2 linked regions of the Caenorhabditis elegans genome follow. The protein of the gene in region 1 interacts with the protein of each later gene in a pairwise test. Each region holds a gene or a part of one and is shown on either strand. Other genes may lie near its edges.

Region 1 (5,094 bases):
GAGCAGTCAAGAGCCATGACATGCTGCGTCTCGCTCATTTCTACACAGTATTATCTTTGACGCCTTTACTCTACAGTACCTATATCCTGTCTGTGGTATGTTCAACATCTGTGTTGGTTTTTGAATACACGAGTAGTTGAAGTCGCGCGTTTTTGTGAAAAATAGTGGGAGAAATGTGTGAGACGCCGAGAGCTCTAGAGATGAAAAGTAAGGAGAACTTTACCACAATGATAACCAGAGAAACCGCGCAATTTCTCACTTAACTATCGATTACCTATTTTTTCATTTTTATTATCATTTAGTCACTCTAAAATTCTTGGAAAATTAGATTTTTGTTCCTCACTTTTATGGTAAAAAGGGATTTTGTTTTAAAACTCTTTTAATTCATATAATCCAATTTGACCAAATTTTCAACGCTCCATTTCAAAAAAATTCAAACTTTCAGTCAGTTTTGGAAAAGTACCAAGATTTTGAAAAATTGGACTTCTTTAGCAATTTTGAGAATCGCTGCTGGTTTGAGACTCTATAATGATCGATTAATTTAAAATTTTTGGTTGAGTTCCAAAATGATAGTTACCGTGAGAAATTTCCACTTTTTGACTGTAAATTTAAAAAAATTCAAAAGTTTTGTAATGTTTAGTAGTTAGATATTCACCACTTTTAATTTGAACACTATCATTTAGAAACTGTTGAGAAAATGTTTTTTTTAATTAGGGTATGGTCATAATTACAAAAACAGATCATTATATACTCAACCTTGTGACTCACTTTCTTTGGTACTTGAGTGTTGTTTACAACTTCAGTGAGACCAAAAACGAATCGTTTAGGGATAATGGGAAGATCATATAAGATGCATTAGCGACTGAGATATTTTGGAAATATTTCGCAAAAGTTTCTGTAGAATTAAAAGTTTACTAAAATAATGAAAATGGTTTTAACTGTGTAATTTTGAGCGTTCTTCCCAATCTAATTTTTACCTTTTTTTGACTTTATCACGTTTCTCAAAACAGTGGTATCTTCTTTCTTGGCCAATTTTCAATTTAACTCTGTGAATCTATCCAATATAACTTTTTCAACAGTTTAAAGAATTTATATATTTTAACACTGCCTGGTTTTCAAAGTTTATACTTAATATGTGTTAAACTGTGGCGATCAATAATTTTTGCTTTGATAATAAATTTTCTGCATGTTTCTTTTTGAAATATCTTCATATTTTAAACTATCTAAATTTAGGGATGCAGTTTTGATTATTGGCATTGGGAAAAGTTATTCAGGACAACTCCAGTCCTAGTGGAAATGTTTCTGAAGTAAAATCCTCACAAATGGCAGTTCATTAAAATGTTAAATATTCCGGCTTAGAATATGATCTGAAATTTCATTCAATAAAATTTGCCCTTTTCCCTCTGCTAAACATGCTCATTTTGTTCTGCCAACACATGAAAACGAGAGAATCACACTATTTACCCGACAGATTACCTTTCATGCTGGCCTTTCTCTCCGGTGCAAATCTGTGGCTAACTCTGACGCGGTTTTGTGTCCGTGCTCATAAACATGCCATGGACAAATGCTTGTTTCATTTATGGTTTTTGTGTTACTGTTTCTGCTGATTTTGATTTTGAACAATCATCTGCGACTCTTGCTCTTTTGCTCTGCCTTCTGTGCTCATGGCTCTTGATCTAATACCTCTAAGTTTTTTTGTTTCCGCGCGGAAAGGAGTCTCAAGTGCTCCAACCCAAGCTCTTTCACGTATTGATAATACATCATTCTCTCTCGTCCACTTCCAGTCATGCTTTCTCTTTTTCTTCTTTTTCTATTCTAGAATATTTTCTGTATTTATTGTCTCTAGACTCTAGTCAAAATAGGTCACAACAAACACAAAAGTACAAGAAGTTGAAGTACAAATACAAGAAATAAGTAGAAGAAGTGACAAGAAAACATCTAATCCACAATGTCATGTTCCCTGTTTGTGGCAGAAGTTCGTGGCTCAAGGAGATGCTCCGTTTGTAGGTAAGAAGATTAAGAAACTAATTGTACTAACACTAGAAGACAGAATACAATAAAGCATTTCAATAAGATTTGTAAACTTATATGTAGATTCGGAGGTTTTTTAGAAAGTAATATTAAATTCTAAATTGAAAATATTAAACAAATTCTCAAAAGCTCCATGTTACGAATTTTTGAATTTGAAAAAAAAACAATCGAATTATAGTAAGAGAATCACTTGAAAATATTTCAGATGCGATATATCTGCTCACGAGCCAGCGGCCATCTACGTGGCACCGGAACGAATATTTTCAAATCTCCCACCAATCGCCACGTCATTCAGCAACAATAATAGTAGTTTTAGCAGGTATGTTCAAGCAATGTATAGCCGTTAATTGAAAATGATAATCTTGTCTTTTTATCTCTATTTACCTGTCTCGTTTGCTCGAGAACTTTCTCCTATTTAATAATAAAGATCGAGAAATGGATATTTCGCAAAATCGAGAGACGCCGGAAATGAGAGAACGTTTGATTTGCCTTGGTTTGACGTGATATCCGATCCAATTGTGATACGGATTGCGCAGTCTAGTGCTCTTGCCAGATTCTCCACACATTATGACTTTATCATTTCCGCTTTTGTGTCCTCTATCAAGCATGACGTGAAGCAATTTGATTGCGGTTATGAGTAGAGCTTTTGAATTTTATTTTTTGTTCATTTTTTTCAAAGAAAGTTAAAAATCAAAAGAGTATTTTAAAATACATATACCTGGGTAACATTTTTTTTATAAAATTAATCGTTTTTAGAAAATTTGTATCTACAATAGTGTCAATTTTGGTCGTTCAGAAAATTTGATAAATCTTCTTTTTCGATGGATTTCCAAGCACTGCGAATTCTGAAAATTGATATAAAAACCGACTTAGAAACATTTGAACGAACACAAAATAACACAAGAAACCAAAAATTTAGTACGTTATTTTGTTTGAAATTTAGGATAAGCGCAATTTAATTTTATTTTCTTAGTTTTTTTTAAAGAAAAATATCAATAGTTTCGGGAATTTTCTTCAAAAAATTGTTGGATGTGGAAATTTGCCGAGACAAACTTAGTAATGAATAGAATAAGAATATGTAAGTTAAATATTTTTCGTTTTTTCCCAGAGAATTTTGGAAACTTATCAAATGAAACTTAGAAATCTGTAGAAAATATAGAAAACAAACAAAAAAAATTATTTGCAATTTCGACTGAAAATTCAGTAACCTGATTTGAAGAGCTTCAAAAGTTTACAGCACTATTCAAAAATAGCGTAAGCTGACATTTACTTTTATTTCTGTTTTAAGACAAAATCTCTGAGTTTCAAGTTTTTTTTCAAATTCCTCTTTGCATGGATATTATGTAGTTACTTATGTCAAGATTTTGACACATTTTCCATTCACTTCTAACATAAAATGCGCATCAAAAACCAGTACCTATTCCTTACAAGGAGACTTTTTTTCAAAAATAATATTGTTCTGTAGTTAGAAACGCAGAGAAATGCCTTTCCGAGACGAGAAGATCGTTCATTCTCTGTGTGGAAAGCTTTGTGTCAAGCATCCAGTTTTTTGTGAACTTTCTTCTATTCATTTGCTCCTCAGCGGCTTGCCTTTGCTCATTGCTTGTTCGGCTTCTTGTTGATTACTGTTATTTTTTTGTTTTCTTCTACTCGTATTCCTACCTTATATTCAACTCCTGTTGAAAGGGATTGTAGAAGAAACAGTTCAGATGTATTTTGTGAAAATGTGTGAATATGAAATTTGATATCTTTGAATTAATGTATTTGTTCAGGATGTCAAACACTCCTCGAAGTGCAACTACCACAATAATCAACAATAACAGTAATAACAGTGGTCTTCCAATGTCCGAGCATTCGGCATTTAGTCCATATGCCAGGCCATCTTCATTGACATCGCAGGTATATTTAACTAATTTAATTATTTAGTTAAAGTTGAAAACCATATTGTGTACCAGGTTTTAAACTGAAGTTAGTGCAAATTTTCAGACGAAAGATTTTTAAATTGATTCATAGTCTGGCAAATTTTTGTTTTGATTTTAAATAAATGAAAGTAATCTTTAATAATTTCCTAAATTATTTTTCTAATTATTTATTTATTTTTTAGGTTTATTATTTCGATATGATAACAAAAATTTTTTGAAGCCTCCGAAAGGCATACTGAAATTTTATAAATTGACTTAGATTCCTAAATTTGTCTAATTAAAATCGTAATTTTGATTCCAAAATAAATATACAAAATTTTTAGAAACGTAAGATTGTAAATCCCCATTAAATTTAAAAACACTTTTTTTTCGCAGAAATAGGTTTGTACACAGATCAGCTAAACAACTAAACAATAAATTCAAAGAATGTTCGGAACTTCTAAAGCTAACCTATTCTCTTATACACACCGACCAAAACCTCTTTAAAAGCCTCTTCAATTGATCTTTCGTGTCTTGATCATCAATAAAAACCGTTTAGGATTCAAAACAATATCATCAAACTCCTCACGTTGTTCTTCGACCAGAGCCCCGATTAGCACTGCCACCTCTTCTTCAGCGTCAAGAAGGATCTGACTCGAACATCTCGAAGAAGATACGCAGTAAACGAAGAGAACGTCCACGAAGTGTCGGTTTGCTTGATCTGGGGTGAGTCAAACTACGAAGAAAGATATTTCCGAGAGGATAAGCGTAAACGATGTGGAACACTGTGTTTTGTACGAATGACATTTTTTGAAAGATATACAGTGTAAAAGAGGAGAGATGAAAGAAACGGAGCAAGTACAGAAAACACGCGTATAAACAAAGACAAGCGTGGGATGCCGATGATCACTTGAATTGAGGGTGAATGTCAAGTGGTCCACAAATATAGAGGAAGAATGTTTTCAGATAATTGATACTTTCAGATATTCATAGATTTTAATTTTAGATCCCGCGCTAGAACATGTCTCGAGACCATATGATAATTCTTAAAATATGCATTCCACATAGGGCCCCCTACTTTGCGGAGACTTTTAAAGCGTAGGCTTAATTTAAAATCTATATTCGCGTCATCTGTTTTTCTAGAGCTTTTTTCGAGTTTCTC
Region 2 (3,633 bases), 3.3 Mb from region 1:
CGGGTCCAGAACTGGAAAAAATGACAGAGCCACCGACAAAGCCCAATGTATCCCATTTCCAATATCAATGCCAAAAACTGGAAGATACCAACTAATTAAGCATGGAGTAAAGCATACAAGAATTGGAATAGTTGATTGAGTGATCAGAGCTTTTATCAATTGTTTCTGCAGACGTTTTGTAGTGTTGCTCATTGACAAATTTTCACTTTTCAGTTTTGTAATGATTAAAATACTGAAAATTGAATTTATCACCAGAGAAATTACGGATAACGTAGTTAATATCAGTATTGCACTCCAAGACTTCCACAAAACAGCTGGACTAGTCTCCTGAAAAAAAGTAATATCAGACACCTTCCAATTGGCTTACATGGTAAATCACAATAAAAATATTCAAATCATCGACATTTTGGTTAAACTCTTCCAGGAAAATATTTTGCATATATGTCAACCGCTCAGTATCAGCCACCATCCAGAAGTAGGCCATCTAAAAAAACTCATAAAATGTTGAATTTAACCTTTAATTTTTAACCGTAAATGTAAAACCTATGATAGTTAGGCAATAGGAAACTGAACATATTATACCATAAGGAATGAAACATGAAGAGAGAAAGGTGCTCCTGAAAATGATATTTGCAATACTGACCTTGAAAAGTTAATAGATACCTGAAAAGCACCATATACCGATACAAAAAATGTGCATGTAAAATTGGATATGTAGCGAATATGAAGCTACCTCTAAGGCATAAAGCAATTGTTCTAAATAATGATTTCTGAAAAAAATGTGGCTGCTCAGTGTTCAAAGTTCGGTTAACGCCAAATTTTTTTAACATAAATAATAGCGGCCGATATCTCATGGGACCTCAAGAAGTAGCAACGTGTTATAAACAGCTGACAACTTGCTTCAAAAAGTTCGCAAAGAGGGCCAGAAAATTGTAGAAGTTTGCAGCGCACATGTTACACTGCTCTCATAAAATTCATATTTTGAACTGATTTTAGAACATTCACAAGAGTAATTTTACTTTGGGCCTTCTTGTAAAAAACTATTTTTCACAAAAACAGACATTTTCAAATTTCAATGAGCCCGCAAAACGTCGGCTGCTAAGCCCTACCTTTTCGAAAATTCCATCCGTAATAAAATATGAAAATGCATATTTATAGTCCAAAGAAGACTGAAATAACAAGTTAGGACCGCAAAACCGAATTCCTTACCATTGGCATGAACACATCGATTGTCGAATTTAAAATGTTATAAATTGAGAAAAATATTAATAAAATTCTATAATTACCCAGATGAGTTTTTCTCTCATCATGAGCAATATAGATGCTCAGTAGATTGATGACAAAAGAGCAAGAGCCACTTATTTTAGGGGCATAATGGTGAATCCAGTTTATTCGCATTTTCCAAAACTTAAAGAACGAAAGAGAGTTATTCAAAATATTGTAAATATTATTTTTGTCAGCAAATGTGTGATCACAGAGCAGACGGTGTCCACGCATGAGGAACTATTCTATGAAGAAAGTTTGTTTAGTTTGATCAGATGATCCTGCTACATTTTCGAAACAACGTCATAAAGAATTCATTTTTTGAGCAAAGCAGCTTCCAATTTACTATTAGTTTTTTCTATCAACTAGTGAATCACGTGCCACAAAAAATAAATTTCGCCACTTCCACTTATCAATAATGTTCATATTTTTTGTGTGCTATCTTGGAAATGAACTTCAATTTTTATTTGTTCTGGCGTTGCTAATCTCTGTTTAGAGAAAATTGATTGACCCTTTTCACTCTTTTTTTCCGGGTGATGAATGTATGATGTTTTATTAAATTTGGAAATATGTTTAATTTCAGTGAAAAATGATGGAACCAGTTGAAGAGTGCGATGAAAATGTTGGAGCATTCCAATGGCAGCAAGCGTCAGAGACTTTGACTGCAATTCGTCAGCGGTTTGGGTTTGCGCTGGAGACTGCTGATCAGGAAGATCAGGCGCGAGCAGTGAGGTTTACTTGGAGTCTGAAGAAAACGTCGATGTTGGAACCGGATGAAATTTTAAAGTAAGGAAACTACGTACCTGCCTACGGATATTTTTTTCGAAATCTGTTATCACACGCGCTCTTAAAGGTGGGGTACCGAAATTTGAGACTTTGCTTTTTTAGACCCAAAATGGTCCAAAACTACCGAATTTCGTAATGAGACGTTGCGAAAATTTTTCAAAAAAAAGTTATGGCTTCTCAAAGTTTTGGAAAAAACGGTCTATTTTTAGCTAAAATCTCAAATTTTGGCAACTTATCGGTGTCGCAGCGGTTGGAAATTAATTTTTATTTGATTATCATCCTTTAAAGCATGCTATTACGTGTTATTTCGTTGATTGAGATATTTTTTGGCCAATGGGGACGCAAATATGACACAATTCTCCGTCCCCATCGGCCCAAAAAGCGTCTCAATAAACGAAACAACACGTAATAAAATGCCAAAACATGCTTTGAAGGATGATAATCAAAAAAAATTAAGTTCCAACCGCTGCGACAGCGATAAGTTGCCAAAATTTGAGATTTTAGCTAAAAATAGGCCGTTTTCTCCAAAATTTTGAGAGGCCATAACTTTTTTTAAAAAAATTTTCAGAACTTCTCATTACGAAATTCGGTAGTTTTGGACTATTTTGGGTCTAAAAACGCAAAGTCTCAAATTTCGGTACCCCACGGTACGTTGTAAAATATGTTTCAGAGAAATTCAAAAAGTTCTTGAAAGCTATGGCATTGATTATGAACAACAAAAACGATACCTTCTTCGGTGCAGTCATGTGGATCCTCTCACTGATGCTTCAGTAAAGTGGGATATCGAGGTCAAAATAACTGTTTTTTTGTTACCAAAACCTAGTTCTTTCAGGTCTGCACACTACCACGCTTGTATTTGAATGGAGTTCATTTTCAACGAATTTCGGGAAGCTCGAGCGACTTCAAGAACATTACTACGAAAATATCGGAAGAGCTTGATATTTAATTCTTAGTTTTTCTCATACGTCCCTTGAATAAATTAAATACTTTTTCCGAACTAGATACTTTTGCTTTTGGCGCTCAAAAAACGTGCAAAAATAAGGAGTCACTCATACCTAAAGTGCTCGTTAGTCTTCGTTTATTCAGTGGCAACATTCAACAGCGATTTCCTTCTAAACCTATCATAAAAATTGGCATACTTGTTTCGTTGATGTACATCCACTGGACCCACTACTATCTTCCAAAAGTTTTTGGGGTACTATCCTTCATTCTGAATCCATTTTTCATCTGGCTAATACTCAATGAAAACATTACTGCTCTGGGAAGTTATCGATACCTGTTGGTCACCTTTGCCAGCTTTGATATAATTTATACATTGGTGGAGTTAGCTGTACCTATGTCTATTTTTGGGACAGGGGCTGCTTTTGCAGTTTTTGTATCCGGTGGGCCTTTTTATGGGGCACGTTTAGACTGAAACATTTGGTTCAAAAGATACTTATTTTCCAGACAGGAAAACTTGGACAATTTGCTCTCTCCGTCCGATGTGGATTCATTTCTCTCTCATACGGAATCCTAGTTATTCATTTTGTCTATCGATACTCTGTATTGTTTTAATAGGTTTTTCATATACACTTTTGTATCTTT

What was found.
Region 2: the proteins of ZC455.1 (region 1) and F14H3.12 interact in a two-hybrid assay, tested with the Caenorhabditis elegans proteins (one large-scale study listed by BioGRID).

What each region holds. Positions count from the first base shown.
Region 1 is NC_003283.11:12,771,574-12,776,667, forward strand, and holds the start of ZC455.1 (LIM domain protein), read left to right. Parts: upstream 1-1,948; coding exon 1,949-2,007; intron 2,008-2,234; exon of another isoform or gene 2,235-2,236; coding exon 2,237-2,350; intron 2,351-2,423; exon of another isoform or gene 2,424-2,555; intron 2,556-3,797; exon of another isoform or gene 3,798-3,803; coding exon 3,804-3,930; intron 3,931-4,491; coding exon 4,492-4,658; intron 4,659-5,094.
Region 2 is NC_003283.11:16,073,523-16,077,155, reverse strand, and holds F14H3.12 (non-specific serine/threonine protein kinase), read left to right. Parts: upstream 1-1,832; 5' UTR 1,833-1,852; coding exon 1,853-2,049; intron 2,050-2,719; coding exon 2,720-2,837; intron 2,838-2,881; coding exon 2,882-2,995; 3' UTR 2,996-3,039; downstream 3,040-3,633. Other genes in the region: srj-29 (Serpentine Receptor, class J), read right to left, coding at 1-327, 368-484, 530-617, 664-770, 1,110-1,169, 1,210-1,497; srj-10 (Serpentine Receptor, class J), read left to right, coding at 3,200-3,448, 3,496-3,596.